Struthio camelus: one gene and its partner. The protein of the gene in region 1 interacts with the protein of each later gene in a pairwise test. Links are inferred from orthologs where the notes say so. Each region holds a gene or a part of one and is shown in the gene's direction. Other genes may lie near its edges.

What was found.
Region 2: the proteins of CDH1 (region 1) and CBLL1 interact in a two-hybrid assay, tested with the Homo sapiens proteins (2 studies listed by BioGRID, with this or other methods). The link is inferred for Struthio camelus from reciprocal best matches to the Homo sapiens genes CDH1 and CBLL1.

The regions. Positions count from the first base shown.
Region 1 is NC_090951.1:1,731,873-1,739,791, reverse strand, and holds the start of CDH1 (cadherin-1), read left to right. Parts: upstream 1-4,498; 5' UTR 4,499-4,593; coding exon 4,594-4,668; intron 4,669-4,745; coding exon 4,746-4,851; intron 4,852-7,919. Other genes in the region: B-cadherin-like, read left to right, coding at 1-111, 319-474, 551-695, 784-959, 1,038-1,166, 1,651-1,836, 1,911-2,155, 2,237-2,379 and 5 more.
Region 2 is NC_090942.1:16,396,056-16,404,156, forward strand, and holds the start of CBLL1 (E3 ubiquitin-protein ligase Hakai), read left to right. Parts: upstream 1-4,822; 5' UTR 4,823-5,187; coding exon 5,188-5,200; intron 5,201-5,897; exon of another isoform or gene 5,898-6,287; intron 6,288-6,703; exon of another isoform or gene 6,704-6,778; intron 6,779-8,101. Other genes in the region: SLC26A4 (pendrin), read left to right, coding at 760-783. UniProt on the Homo sapiens protein: E3 ubiquitin-protein ligase that mediates ubiquitination of several tyrosine-phosphorylated Src substrates, including CDH1, CTTN and DOK1. Targets CDH1 for endocytosis and degradation.

The DNA.
Region 1 (7,919 bases):
GCGCTCCCCGGGCCCCGCTCTCCTCTGAGGAGGCAGAAGAGGGACTGGGTGATCCCTCCCATCAAGGTTCCCGAAAATGAGAGGGGCCCGTTCCCCAAAAAGCTGGTTCAGGTATGGAAGGCGTCTGTCTGGGCAGGGGTATTGGGTCTTGGTGGGGATGCATGTGCCCTGGGCAGGGCGAGACATCGACTGTGCCCATCCCCCTTGCATCGGGGCAGGGGGGTCCTGAGCTTTGTGCATGGGTCTGCGCATTGAGGGCACAGTGAGATGCTGGCTGTGCCCATCCCCCTTGCATCCGGGCTGCGTCTCCCCACCCAGATCAAATCCAACCGGGACAGAGAGACAAAGATCTTCTACAGCATCACGGGGCAGGGGGCGGACACCCCTCCCGAGGGCGTCTTCACCATCGAGAAGGAGACGGGCTGGATGAAGGTGACGCAGCCGCTGGACCGGGAGCACATAGACAAGTACCACGTAGGTGGTGGCCGGGGGGACGCTGGGCGCCGCGCTGGCCGGCGCCGCGGGGCCGCTCACCCCTGCGTCCCCGCAGCTCTTCTCCCACGCCGTGTCCGAGAACGGGCAGCCCGTGGAGGAGCCCATGGAGATCATCATCACGGTGACGGACCAGAATGACAACAAGCCCCGGTTCACCCAGGAGGTGTTCAGGGGCTCGGTGCCGGAGGGCGCTTTGCCAGGTAGGCGCCCGACCGCGGCACCCCGGGGACCATCCCCCGGGGGATGTGGGTGCCCGTCCCCGCTGACGCGGGTGCCGCATCCCTCCAGGCACCCCCGTGATGCCCGTGAACGCCACGGACGCCGACGACGCCGTGGAGACCTACAACGGCGTCATCGCCTACTCCATCCTCAGCCAGGAGCCGCGGGAGCCCCACCGCCAGATGTTCACCATCAACAGGGCCACGGGCACCATCGGCGTCATCGCCAGCGGGCTGGACCGCGAGGTGGGCGCCAGGCGCCGGGGGCTTGGGGCACCGCGTGGGCCGCCGCGGGGCTCACGGTGTCTGTCTGCCCGCTCGCAGCGCGTGCGGGAGTACACGCTGACCGTGCAGGCGGCCGACCTGGACGGCGACGGGCTCACCACCACGGCGCTGGCCGTCATCGAGATCACCGACGTCAATGACAACGCGCCTGAGTTTGACCCCAAAACGGTAGCATGGAGCCCCAGGGCTGGAGGGGGACCCTTGTCCCCCCCCCCGGGCTGGGGGACTGGCCTTGTGCATGGCGGGGGGGAGACCAGCCTCGTGCACGGGGGGATGAGGCTCGTGCACGGGGATGGAGGGAGCAATGAGGCTCGTGCACGGGGGGATGAGGCTCGTGCACGGGGATGGGGGGAGCAATGAGGCTCGTGCACGGGGGAGTGAGGCTCGTGCACGGGGATGGAGGGAGCAATGAGGCTCGTGCACGGGGGGATGAGGCTCGTGCACGGGGATGGGGGGAGCAATGAGGCTCGTGCACGGGGGGATGAGGCTCGTGCACGGGCATGGGGGGAGCAATGAGGGTCGTGCGTGGGGGGGGGGGGTGAGGATTGTGCCCGCTGCAGCCGGGGCCCCGGGCCGGGCGGTCGCTGCGGGTGCAGGACGGGCCGGCAGCGGCGCGGGGGGCCCGGGCTCTCAGCACCGCCGGGCCCCGCAGTACGCGGCGGCCGTGCCGGAGAACGAGGCCGGGCGGGAAGTGGCCCGGCTGGCCGTGACGGACCTGGACGAGCCGAACACGCCGGCGTGGCGGGCTGTCTACACCATCGTGGGCGGCGACGAGGGAGGCGCCTTCGCCATCGCCACGGACCCCGCCAGCAACGAGGGCGTCCTCAGCACCGCCAAGGTGCGTGCGGGCGCCCCGCCACCGCCGCCGGCTGGGGCGATGCCGATGGCGATGATGCCCGTCCCCTCTCCCAGGCTCTGGACTACGAGGCCAGGGGGCAGTTCGTGCTGCACGTGGCCGTGGCCAACGCGGCGCCCTTCGCCGTGAAGCTGCCGGCGGCCACGGCCACGGTGGCGGTCGGCGTGGAGGACGTGAACGAGGCGCCCGCCTTCGAGCCGCCGGCGCTGGCGGCCCGCGTGCCGGAGGACGTGCCGCTGGGCCACGCCGTGGCCGCCTACACGGCCCGCGACCCCGACCGCGCGCGGGGCCAGCGCCTCAGGTGAGCGGCGGTGGCGCCGCCGCCGATGCTGGGACCCGGCCCCGTCGCCGGTGTCCGCCACGGCGCCGTCTCGCCGCGCAGGTACCGGCTGGGCAGCGACCCGGCGGGCTGGCTGGCCGTGCACCCGGAGAGCGGGCTCGTCACGGCGCGCGCCCCGCTGGACCGCGAGGCCCCCTTCGCCAGGGACAGCACCTACGCGGCCGTGCTGCTGGCCGAGGACGACGGTGAGGAAGGCCCCGCGCGGCCGCGGCGGGTGCACCCGGCGGCGCCCGGGACCCTCGTGGGCAGCGTGGCTCCTCCCGCAGGCTCGCCGCCGGCCACCGGCACCGGCACCCTGCTCCTCACCCTGCTCGACGTGAACGACCACGGCCCCGAGCCCCGGCCCCGGGACGTCGTCGTCTGCAACCGCAGCCCCCGGCCTCAGGTCCTGGCCATCGTCGACCGGGACCTGCCGCCCAACGCGGCGCCTTTCCGGGCCGAGCTGGCCCACGGCTCGGCCGACAGCTGGGCCGCCGAAGTCAGCGGCGAGGGTGAGGGCGGCCGGGCGGCGTGTGTGTGTCGTCCCCCCCCGCCGCCCCCGCCTGACCGCCTGTCCCGCAGACACGGTGACGCTGCGGCTGACGGCGCCGCTGCAGCAGGCCCTCTACAGCGTCTACCTGCGCCTCTTCGACGGCCGCGGCAGGGAGCAGCTCACCGTGCTGGCCGCCCGGGTCTGCGACTGCGAGGGGCACGCCGAGAGCTGCCCCCGGCCGCCGGCCCCCCCCGCCGCCGCCGCTGCTCCCCTGGTGCTGGCAGCGCTGGGCGCCCTCCTGGCTTTGCTGCGTGAGCGTGGGGCGGCGGGGGGCGGCGGGGGGCGGCGGGGGGCCGGGCGCCCCGTCCTCACCCCGCGCCTCTGCCGCAGTCCTGCTGCTGCTGCTGCTGCTGCTCGGAGGCAGGAGGAGGAGGAGGGCGGCCAAGGAGCCGCCGCTGCTGCCGCCCGAGGACGACACGCGGGACAACGTGTTTTGCTACGGCGAGGAGGGCGGCGGCGAGGAGGACCAGGTGGGTGCGCGGCGTTGGAGGGGTGGGGGGGACGCGGCACGGCCGCCGTCCGCCTTCACCCCCCCCCCCGTCCCGGCCCCGTGCAGGACTATGATCTGAGCCAGCTGCACCGGGGGCTGGATGCCCGCCCCGAGGTCATCCGCAACGACGTGGCCCCCCCACTGATGGCGGCCCCCCAGTACCGGCCCCGGCCCGCCAACCCCGACGAGATTGGCAACTTCATCGACGAGGTGAGTCCCCGCCGCCCGCTCGCCCACCCACCTGCGCGGGCCGCCCCGCCGAGCCCCGGCCCACGCTGCCCCTCTCTGCCCCCAGAACCTGAAGGCGGCCGACACGGACCCCACGGCCCCCCCCTACGACTCGCTGCTGGTGTTCGACTACGAGGGCAGCGGCTCGGAGGCCACCTCGCTCAGCTCCCTCCACTCCTCCGCCTCCGACCGCGACCAGGACTACGACTACCTCCACGACTGGGGCAACCGCTTCAAGAAGCTGGCGGACCTCTACGGCGGCGGCGAGGAGGACGACTAGAGCCCCCCGCCGCCCCCGGGCCAGGCCTTGGGGCCGTGCCCCCCCCCCCCCCGAAGTGCCCTTGGCTTCCTCCTCTCCCTTTCTCCTTTTGTTTTTGACTAGGAAATAAAGCTAGCGCGATGCTAAACGCGGGGTGAGCGGGTTCTGGTGCAACTTTTAAATAAAGGAGGCCCTTTTTTTTTTTTTTTTTGGTTTGTTCTTGGTTTTTAAGTTTCTGCGGGGCTGCGTGGCGGCGCCGTCCCCCCCCTCCCCGCGCTGCTGTTTACCGCCGCGCTGTTTGCTCGTGCTCGGCCGGACTTTGTCCCCTGCTCGCCGGAGGCGCGGGGGAGCCGCCGGCCCCTCCGTCCCCTGGGTACCTCCCGGGGTGCCCTCGGCCCTCCCGGGGCTCCAGGGCGCTCACGGATTTCCTCCAGCATCCATAGGGCACCCACAGCCCCCCCACCCAGCCATGACGCCTACGGGCTTCCCGGGGCACCCACAGCCCTCCCAGGCTCCCCGCGGCCCTCTTGGACCACCAAAAGCAGCCCCAGGGTTTCCGAAGGAGCCCGTGATGCTCCCGGGGACCGTGCAGAGCCCCGGGGACCCCGCGAAGCGCCCGCAGCCTTCCCAGGGCGCCCACGGATTTCGCAGGACACCTGCGAACCATCCCGGGGGTCCTCAGACCCCCCCCCCCACGCACACCCCAGCGGCCCTCGGGGAGCTCTCACAGCCGGCCCAGGGCTCCCGGGGGGGCGGACCGGGGCGGCACCGCCTCCCGACGGGGCCGGCACCTGCGGGGCGGGCCGGGACGGGGCGGGCCGCGACCCACCTGCGGGCTGCAGTGCGCTCCGCTCCGCCGCCGGCTCCGCACCCCCGAGCTCGGCCGCGCCATGGGGCCGCGGCGGGGCTGCCCGGCCCCGCTGTGCCTCTTCCTCCTCCTCCTCCTCCTGCTGCTGCTGCTCCAGGTGAGGGACGGGACGGGACGGACGGGACGGGACGGGACGGGCGGGACGGGCGGGGGCTGACGGCTCTCTCGTGGCAGGCCGGGAGCGGGCTGCGCGGCTCCTGCCAGCCCGGCTTCGCCGCCGGGACCTTCGCCTTCGCCGGGCGGCCGGACGGGGCGGCGGCGGGCAGAGCCCTGGGCCGAGGTAAGGCGCGACGGCGGCGGCGTGGGCGGCCGAGGCGCGCGGGGCGCGTGGGCGGGACGCGCGGGTTCCCACGGCCACGCGGCCGGCTGCCCCGCGCGGCGTCCACGGTCGTGCACGGCTCCGAGGGCGGCCGGGGCCGCGGAGCCGCGACGGTGCGGCCGGACACCCCGCGCGGTGCCCACGGTGGTGCACGGCTCCGCGGTGGCGACGGGGGCAGAGCCGGGGCCGTGTGCCCGGATGCCCTGCGTGGTGCCCACGGTGGTGCACGGCTCCACGGTGGTGACGGGGGCAGAGCCGGGGCCGTGTGCCCGGATGCCCTGCGTGGTGCCCACGGTGGTGCACGGCTCCGAGGGCGATGGGGGCAGAGCCGGGGCCGTGTGCCCGGACACCCCGCGCGGTGCCCACGGTGGTGCACGGCTCCGAGGGCGACCGGGGCCATGGAGGGCAGCCGGGTGCCCGGTGCGGTGCCCACGGCAGTGCACGGCTCCGCGTTGGCAATGGGGGCAGAGCCGGGGCCATGTGCCCGGACACCCTGCATGGTGCCCACAGCGATGCATGGCTCCACGGTGGCGACGGGGGCAGAGCCGGGGCCGTGTGCCCGGATGCCCTGCGCGGTGCCCACGGCGGTGCACGGCTCCACGGTGGCGATGGGGGCAGAGCCGGGGCAGCTCCACCACCGCCACGAAAGCGTTAAGGAGCGGAGGCGCCGGGCGGGCTGCCCTTTCGCCGGGAGCGCCGGGGCGGCGGGCGCTGACTCAGGCACGCAGACCTGTCGGGGCGGGCAGGCCTGGGCGGGGGGCCGCGCCGGGGCACCTGCCGCGTTTCGCGGCCCCCGGAGCCCGCCGGGCCCCTGCTGCGGCGCCCGCGGAGGGGCCGGCGTCGAGGCCGTGCCTCGGCAGGCCGCGCCGACGCGAAATACCTGTCCCGGCAGGGCGGGCGCCCCAGCCGCTGCCTCCACAAACTCTCATTGCGAGCATCCCCGAGTGGCCCCCAAGCCCCCGACGCCCTGCTTCTCCCGGCGCCGGGGTGGCCATGCCGCGCCGAGCGCCGGCTCCCGGCGCTTTCGCCCCGCGCCGCCGTGTGCTCCGGTTTGGCCGGGGCGAAGGCTGGCCCGCCGCGCGGCGGGGCTCCCAAAACCGCCCTCGGCCCCGGCCAAGCCGTCGCCCCTCGCGAATGCCAGGCTCGTTAGCTTTGTGGCTGATCATTAACGAAGGCGCTCGGCTGGCCCGCTCCCCGGAGCCGCGGCCGGCCCCGCTTTCCCGCGCCGGCGCTCCCAGCTTGGCGCTGGGGCCGGGGGCGAGGAGGGAGCGCTGCGGCCGGCTGGCGAGCGGCACCTGGGGTTTTCCGCCCCGCGGCGGGTCCGGATAGGGCCTGGCCGGGGCAGGACGGAGGGACACCTGCGCCGAGCGGGGGCCGCGCCGGACGCGTCCTCGGCTTGCCGCCTCCGCCGGGGCCGAGCGGGGCTGGCGGGAAGCTCCCCACCGAGGGAGAGGCGGTTTCCCCCCGGCGAAAGCTGCCCGGCGCCGCCGGCTGCGTCGTGCCAGGCCGTAGCGCGGCGGCGGTCCCCGGGGAGCCGCGGCCCGGCGCGGGGGCGCTGCTGACTCAGCCCCGGGTGGGTGAAACCTCGAAAGTCTGAAGTCAGGGCGAAACTGGGGGTGACGTCAGCCGGGCGCCGCCGCGGCCGCCCTTGCGCAAGCCCCCCGGCGCGGCTGGCGCCCGGCCGTGCCGCCGGCGGAAGCGGGGCGCGCGTGGCCCTCCGCCGGGCTGAGGGGCGCCGGGGAGCCCCGGCGGGGGTCCCTCGGCCCCCGCGCGTCGGGGAGCGCCGGGCGGGCAGCGCGGCCGGGCCAAGCCGGGTCCCTGGCAGGCGCCTCGGCGATTTTTGGGCTCCCCGGGGGTGGTGGGCGAAGCGTGGGAGCCGGGTGCTGCACCGCCCCCCCCCCCGCCCCCCCTCGCCAGCGCCAGAGCCGCCGCGCCGCCCGGCCGCGGCCCCCTGCCCCGGCGGCGATCCGGCTGGGCTGCGAGGGAGGTTTCTTCCAGCCGGGAGCTGGAAAAACAGGTTGTGCACACGGCCGGGGCGGGAAGGGGGGCCGAGCGGGCGCTGAGCGCTGCGTGCTCGCCGCAGCCAGCTGGTGCAGGGCCAGGTCGTGGGTGCTGAGCACTGAGCACTCACTGCATGCAGCCGCTGTGGGGCTGGGTGCTGAGCACTCACTGCATGCAGCCAGTGCGGGGGTGGGTGCTGAGCACTGAGCACTCACTGCACGCAGCCACTGTGGGGCTGGGTGCTGGATGCTGAGCACTTGCTGCATGCAGCCAGTACAGGGCCAGGTGCTGAGCACTGCACTCGCTGCATACAGCTACTGCAGGGCCAAGTGCTGGGTGCTGAGCACTGTGCAACTCGCTGCATGCAGCCACTGCAGGGCCAGGTGCTGTGTGCTGAGCACTGCACTCACTACATGCAGCCAGTGTGGGGCAAGGTGCTGGGTGCTGAGCACTCACTACATGCAGCCAGTGTGGGGCTGGGTGCTGGGTGCTGAGCACTCACTGCACACAGCCACTGTGGGGCTGGGTGCTGAGCACTCACTGCATGCAGCCAGTGTGGGGGTGGGTGCTGGGTGCTGAGCACTCACTGCATGCAGCCAGTACAGGGCCAGGTGCTGAGCACTGAGCACTCGCTGCACGCAGCCACTGTGGGGCTGGGTGCTGAGCACTTGCTGCATGCAGCCAATGTGGGGGTGGGTGCTGGGTGCTGAGCACTGAGCACTCGCTGCATGCAGCCAGTGTGGGGCTGGGTGCTGAGCACTGAGCACTCGCTGCACGCAGCCACTGTGGGGCTGGGTACTGAGCACTTGCTGCATGCAGCCAATGTGGGGGTGGGTGCTGGGTGCTGAGCACTGAGCACTCGCTGCATGCAGCCAGTGTGGGGCTGGGTGCTGAGCACTGAGCACTCGCTGCACACAGCCACTGTGGGGCTGGGTACTGAGCACTTGCTGCATGCAGCCAATGTGGGGGTGGGTGCTGGGTGCTGAGCACTGAGCACTCGCTGCATGCAGCCAGTGTGGGGCCAGGTG
Region 2 (8,101 bases), on another chromosome or scaffold:
GTGTTGTGTTTTCTTCCACTGCGTGACATCTCCTAGGAAAACCTGACCAGGGAGGTCAGATTGGCCTGGGAGTCAGAGCAGTGAGAGGAAAAACTTAAGACCAAAGCAAAAGCCTCTTAAACTTCATCAGGGCTCGTTCAATAGATTGTGATATTTGGCACTCCTGATTTCAACCCCTCCTTTTTTTGTTTGGTATGAATATTGCAAGAGATCCAAATATTACTTTTTAGCACACACGAGACAAACACACTTCTTCCACTTCTCTGGTGAGTACTCTAAGCAACAGGTTATTGTGGGGAGAAGCACTTTCCACTCCTCTGGAAGCCACTGGGCAGAAAGGAGTGAAGGATTCACAAAGCTATGAAGATAAGCAGGCCAAAAGCCCTGGCTTCTGATTCCGATTCCCAAGAGAGCTTAGTTATTTACATTACAGAAAAATAAGGAAAAGAATGCTGGCACAAAACCACCAGTCCAAGGTCAAACCGTTCTGAGAGGTTTCCATCCTCCACCTTTATGGCCAGTTTTTTTGAAGGCAAGAGCTAGTACCTTTCAGATCTGCAAATTCCTGACCGAAGTGTCTGATGTAGGCTCCAGTTAGAGGGGGGCTGTTTCGAAGAGACCTTTTACAGTTACTTTATTTGTACTTTCATTGAGGCCAGGTTGGTAACTTGTACATAAATATTTTATTTTTCCAAGTGATTTGTACTCAGCACTAACCATTGTCCCTTTCTCTCCACCTTTTGAAAAACTTGTCAATAGGCTATGCGCAGACTCGCTTCATGAAGAACTGCTGGTACTGTCATACCTGTGAACTCACAGCAATATTTATGCACCGGTATTATAAAAACATTTTCTGCAATGAAACCAATCTTTGCACTTGAAGAAAACCCTGATTCCTTGTCTGAATGATGCAGATCTCTAGAAATCTCCACATTTGACTACCATTATCCCTGAAATACTCCAGACTGATTCAGTGAGCAAGTTCTGACCTGATACGTTGATAAAAAAAAATCTATTACAAAAGACTTAATCAGTTTTGGAACTAGTCAGGGGGAAGGTGCATCACACCGTCACTTCAGTGTGTTCAGGAAGAAAAGCTGCTTTGTGTTAACCTAGCCCAGGGGAGTTGAAGAGACTCAAATGTTTTGATCGGAGACCTCCTGTTATGTATTTGTACAACGCCTAGCAAGAGGACAGGAGTTCTAGCTGGCCAAGGCTTTGCAGTCCTAGAACGTTAAGGTGACCACACTTGCTGACAAAACTCTTGAAAAATGCACCTCAATAGTTCTTTCCAAGCAATTCCTTGAATTGCTGCAGGTTGTTAGATAAATGAAACACAGGACAAGTGACAAAGTCACACAAACACAAAACTGTGTGCTGCACTACTATAAAACAATAATTAGGATAAATTTCAATAGAAAAGGCCCTCGGATAGTGGTTCATTAGTTCTGCATTCATCCCATTGTAGTAAATCATGCACTCCTGTTAATGAAAAATTAACAAGTATAAAAAAATCAAAAAAATCAAGTATACGCATAAGATTATTTTGGCTAGGTTATGTATCTATAGCTGATCGAGAGGCAGATCATGACATAGATTAACGAAAACCTTATTCCACAAATACGTAATGAAATTTGTAGAATGGGCTGCTACAGAATATAAGTCAGAATGTGAGCTAGTATAAGGTTTTTTAATGAATTGTAGGAGTTTAGTTAGTTTAAGGAATAGCTATTTTTTTATATAGCATATATATTTTTTAATATACTACATCAAACAGCTGCTGTTCTTCTACAGGAAACATATAGACATTTGACAGTCCATAATGCTCAAGTGCAATAATTTACACAAGACACAGGATTCAAACTGCAAAATTTTAATCCTTGATTTTAGGACTATATAAAATACATATGCAAGAAATCAATGATCTTAACTTCATCATGAAGAAACTGGTTTCAATGGAAAACAGACTGCTACCTTAAATATTTTAGCACTATCTTAATTTTTAAAATGGAGAAAAACCTGTGTGGTGAGGGAATATGTAATACCAAAAGCTTAAGAAATACAGACTCTAAAACCCCTTTAAGCTTCACCATGTGGGCCAATTAGCTTTAGTACGTTCACATATTTAAGTCTCTTTATTCAAGTATGTCAGACAAATTTTCTTGTATCACACTGCACAGAGAAGACTGTTATGTTACTGCAGGTGATGTTAATGGAAAAATCTCAGGTGAAAAGCCGAGCACTAGGTAAGTTATTCTTCTCTAAGGACCGGAGTGAACTCTTTCAAAATCAGTGAAAAAAATTCCTATAAACTTCAGTCAGTTGACCAGGATCCTTCCACAATGGGAAACTGCACCAAAGACTGTCGTCTTCATTCTCTAAATAAGACAAAAACTTCAGCCTTCATGGCACTCGGCAAAGTTTCTCATTTCAAATGCAGTAAAGGTTTGATCCTACATGATATTGATGTTCTAGTTCAAACCAGCAAAAACGCAGGCCTGCGCTTAGAGTTAGGAACGAGCAATTCTTACGTCAGACAGGCTTCTCCACAAGCTGAGAGTTAGGTATGTGTTTAAGAGCCAAATCAGACCGACCTGCACCTCCTAAGATGGAAGCATTGATTAAACTTACACTAATGCTTAGGCTCAGGCTGTGATTTGACACTTCAGGCTTTTAGGAAATAATAGCAAACACTTCCTATCTTCATTCTCTCCCCCTCCATTTGCCAGCATAACTCAGGAGGTTGGTGCTTCTGCCAACATTACTGACAAACCTTTCATATTAGGCCATGGCCTCAGTTTATATTATCCTGCATACAAGCCACTGCTGCCAATGCACGTGAATGAAGGATAAGGCCAGTAGCATGTTTCTCAGAGGATGTATTGTTCCTCTAAAGTGGATGTACATTTTATGTAAAAAGCAAAAGGAAACATTCTGCTTGGGACTGGTAAAGGAGCTTTCTGCTATTTTTAGGCAGAACAAACACCGCAGAAAAAAGTGATATTAGAAAGATAGCAGTGAATGTTTTGTCCTTGAGAGAACATCTGCACTGTGAAGTTTGAGCACAGATTCTTACTTGACAAAAATGTGGGCACAGATTATTTTCGAACCTTCTCTAGTTCTTGCCCATATAGGTATTTAGAAAAAATACATATATATATATTTTCAACAGTCTTCTAGCTTTCTTTACAAATATGACATTTTAGCTGGAATTAGTTGTAATAAAATACAATGCAACGCACTTATTTTTGGCCTGCATATTTCTTCAAGGCAAGGTTGCATTTCTTAACTTTATTATTAAAAAATATTCACCTTTCCTGAATAATAGCATTTCATATAAAGCTTACACTTGCCCAAAACAATAAAGAGCAACATGCAGAAGGCATTCAGATGCCTTTTTCAGTGAGGCAGGGAATACGTGCCTTTTAACACTCTTATCTACATATCCATCAAAATGAAGAATACCAAAATAATAGGTTTTGTAATGAAGCTGAAATTCTGTACAATTTTGTACTAATTCAGACATCCATAAGTAATGCACAAGATATATGTGATTATCTTTTTCAGCTGAATGCAGAAGTGATATTTTTATCTGCACTTGTGATTACTACCATCTTTGCACGTCAAATATTAAATTGGAGACGTATTTGTTTTTTACCCTTTTAAAAAGGCTACATTTTAAAAGTCATTATGTCCATTAACTAGAAAATAAAGTTGTGCATACTGAAAAGTTTCTCCATGCATCTGTTCTGTTTTTAAAAACTGTTCTTTTTGTGAATTCATATTATGGTGAAATAAAGTGTATTATGTAGGGATAGGTTTCTCATTTCCCTTACATCTGCCACTTATTTTAGACAACCAGCAAAGTCTCTGTACCTTCTGGGGATAAGAGAAGATACAGTAGGCTTAAATCACAGCTTTTTAATGGTAAGGCTAATTTTAAGGTAATGAGAAGAGCTGTCTGCATGGACACAAAGTCACAACCCTGGAGATTCAGCAAGACAAGCAGTCATCAGTTTTAAGTGTCTGAAGTAGAGCTGTCCCCACCTTACAACTCTGGAAGGGTTAAGAGACTTAAGCTTTACGATCCCTTTAAGCCCTATAGACTATGATTTAGTTATTTTTATATTCCTCTCCTTTCTTCAGTGCTATAAACCTGTTCTATAGACAGTCTCCCCCTTAACTGGTCAGAAGTCACAAAAAGCTAAGTTTATGAAAATATCAGAACAGTCACAGAGCTCTAGTGCTATCAAGCTTTAGGATGCACTGGAGTTTGCTGCTCCCTTAAGTCACTAACTGTTTTGTTTGTCTGGTTGGTTTTTAAGTAATCCTGACTACGGGATTGCTCTGAGCGCAAGGAATTTGTCCCGTCTCTGGTAAGACTTAAGGCAGCTCATCAGCAGCTGACAGAGCCCAACGTGGCTTCAAGCCCGGCGACTCGCCCAGCTTCTTCAGAAACGGGCAGCAGGCGCGGCATGCCGCCGCGCCGCCCGCAGGCAGGGCGGCCGCAGCCCCCGCGCACAAAGCCCGGCCTCCTCCGTGCTGTTTCCCCCTCCTCCACGAAGGCGCACGTTCACGTCCGTGTTTCCAGGGCCTTTGGAAGCCCGCGCAGGGCAGCGAGCTGCGGCCTCAGGGGGGCCCAGGGCGGCGCGCAGCGCAGGCCGAGCCGCCCGCCGGCAGAGCGCGGCGCCTGAGCGGACCGCACGGAACCTCCCCGCCGCCCCGGGCAGCGCCAGGGCCGCGGCCGGAGCCGGGCGAGGGCCGCGCCGCCCCGGGAAAGCCCCGCGCAGGGCGGCCAGGCCCCTCTCCGCCAACCCGCCGCCATCCCCGCAGGCACCCCATGGCGCATGCGCAGCCCTACCAAGGTGTGGGGGGAGAACCTCGAGGCAGCAGGCCGCCAGCCGCTATCCCAGCGGGCGCTGCGGCAGCACGGCGCTCCCCCACCGCCTTCTCGCGGTGCCTGCTGGGAAAGAGAGGCGCCAGTTACGGCTCGGCGCCGCTTCGCCAGACCCCCGCCGCTTCGCCGCCGGCTCCGCCGCGCCCTCGGTGTCTCGCAGTCGCTCCGCAGAGACGCGCCGAGCGCTGCGCCGCGGACTTATCCCTAGAGCGCCCTTTTTCACGCCCGCCTCCCGGCAACTTCCGCTTCCGGCCCCACCCTTCCGCTCCCACAGTGCCCCGCGCCGAATCATGGACCACAATGGTGAGGAGGGGAGAGGCCGGGAGACCCATTTATACCCGTCCCCGACCGGGCCCGCTCCGCGCCGGCGGGCGGCGAGCGGCCGCGGTCGGGGCCGCCGGGCTGGGGGCGGTGCGAGGGTGGTGGGGACGCGGCCCGGCGCCCGGTAACGCGGGCGGGGCCTGAGGTTCGCCGCCGTTCGCCGCGGCCCGCGCGGCGGGGCCTGGTCGTTCCCTTCCGCGCCCGCCGCCGCCGCGGTCTCGCGCCCTCCAACGGTCCTGCGGCGCGCGCGGGGCTGCCCTGACCCCCCCCCCCCCAACCCGCGCGCGCGAGCGGCCCAACGGCCGCCTCGGCGGCGCCCCGTGGCCAGGGGAGGCGGGGGCGCTGGCCACGGCCCCGGCCGGCGAGCGGCGGCGGCCTCGGCGCAGCCTCGGGCTTGAGCGCGGCGGCCGCCGGGCGCCAGCGGGCCGTGTGGCCGGAGCCTGCGGGCTTGCAGCAGGTGGAGGCGGCCCGTGGCGCTCGGGAGGTGGGAAAGAGGCGCTCGTTTCCCGAGATCGGTGCCGATGATGTCTTTTCTGCTTCCCGGATCGCGCTCCGGAGATTCTCGGGCGTTTTCTTATGTCGCGCGTGAAATTTGTTCTTGTAGCGTTGATGTTTTGCTCGTTGGTATGCTGGCGTAATCTAATGAATACATAAGTAGATGACTTTTTTTTTTCCTTTAGGAATGACTGCGCTATAAGCACATATAGTATAGTATTCCAACTATATTTATAAATTAAAAAACAAAAGCTTAGAGTACAAAAAAAAGCTTCAGAGAAGCTGATGGAGACGACAACTTAAGAGAGTGTCTCACTTTTCATCGTATCTTCTCAAATAGTCTAAACAACTTTGCTACGTTTTTCATATTTTTTTCTTGACTTATTCCTGCTAGTTATGCTTACACGAACTTGAGGTTATCGTTCTCCTATGAAATAGGAATGACTAATACACTTGTTCGTTTGGATTAGTTGAGCAACTAAGTCACGTAAATATTCCTAGCTTGCAAAGGTATATGGAAGAGAAGTATCAGAACTCCATTTTCTCCTGTTTTTGGTTCAGTGGACTAAATGAGGTAAAAAAATTTCTGTTTTTAAAACTTATTTTAATTGTTCCCATTTGTAAAAGAATTGAAGTCCTGCAGAGACCTTTTTGGTCTCTAGTGTAGTGCCTTTGTGTGTTCAATTCAAGATTGTTTCCTCTCATTCTGCCCCAGTAGCACTGTTTGCCTTAGGTTTTCTGTTAGAGGACTAGTGATTAGTCTCAGAACTTTTGTAACAGAAAACAGAACTTCCAGCTCATGGAACGTCAACAGCTCTAGCATTATTGTCTCTGATGTTCTAGTCTAACTGCCTCTGGGTAAGCCTTGTATTTGAGTTGCATGTTTGCTGGATCATCTGTTTAGCCAACAGGATGGCCTAAACTCCCCCAAATTAACAAAAGTAAAAGCAAGCTTTATTGCCTTTGCTATTTTTACATTTTGCCTTTTAGATTGAAACGTGTCAACCACAGTACTAAGAAATAAATAGACTTGACCCAAAGAAAATTGGCGTTCTTGATTTTGAGGTAAAGTAACTGCTAGGGCGCAGTCCCAACTTGCAACTTGTCTCAGTTCCTAGTTTTGATATTAGCTGCTGAATGACTTTGAGCAAGTCCTCATTAACCTTTTTTTTTCTGTTTCTCCTTCTTCTTGTTGTGTTGTATATGGAGATTATAAGCTTTGAGGGACAGTAGTTGTTTATGTGAGGTATTGTGCAGTGTTACACTCCCTGGACCTAATTCCAGTGTCCAGATGCTTCCCTGTTGCAATGCTTTGGAGCCGCAGTAGTCATGCCAGAGCTGTAGTGCCGTATCTGAGGTTGAACAGTAGGGCTCACTCTATAATAGCTTGTGGCACTCTCCTTGGGGGCTGAGAAGGTCCCACTTTTAAACATTACCAGCTGATGCTAACCCCTCTCTTGACAGACCAGAAGTGACAAGGATGTTAAATATTTGTGTCCCTATCTTTCCAGCTACAAACATGGACAGGACTTGCACTGGAAATATTTTGCAAGGGGGACAAACCCAAAACCCAGCCCTCCAAAATGCCAAGACATGCAAGAGAGTTCCTAATGAAATTTTTGATTGCTTGTGTTTGAAAACATAAGTTTAGCTGCTGTGTTCCTGCTCATGGTCTTGCATGTCTGTCTATCCTGTAATGGATGTTGAGTTAAAGGCTTATAAATATGAGTCTAGTAATGATTTTATAGAAGTTTTATTTTTTATTACAAAGAGCTGATGGGCATGTACATTGATAGAATAGCGTGATGTGTCAATTTGTGAGACATCTTTTATGTTTGTATAAATGAGATGCTATATAGTGGGTTAAGGTAGACTTACTGAAAGTTGGGAAGGTGTGTGAATTGTACCCCTTCATGTTGTCTGAGTGTTGCCTGTTACAGTACTGACTCCTAGATTATGCATTCAGGCCCATATCTACACGTGTGTGTTGAACTGTTGCTTTCTTCCTTTGCCCTGGTACTCAGATTTAAAACTGGTTAAAGAGAATTCTGTATAGGAGGGAGTGCTAATTTTTAATTTAGCAAAGATATTACTGTGTACTGTAAGCATCAATATTTTTTTGGTGCTTTGCACTGAACTCCCAAGTGATATGTGAAGTTGCTAAGAGTTAGCATGGAAACTAGTTTCCTTCCAGCTTGCTTAGTAAACAAGTTGTGTAGATTTTCTTGTGAGAAAAGGTCATTTTTATTGTTTGCATAATCAAGGTTGTATAAAGAGTTGTATTCAACCTGTGATAGGAGCAGTACAATAGTTGACAGTCATTTTCCTGTTATGGAGAGCGGACAGGCTATCTCTGACAGACAAGCTACTTTTAATAAAATAACGTTA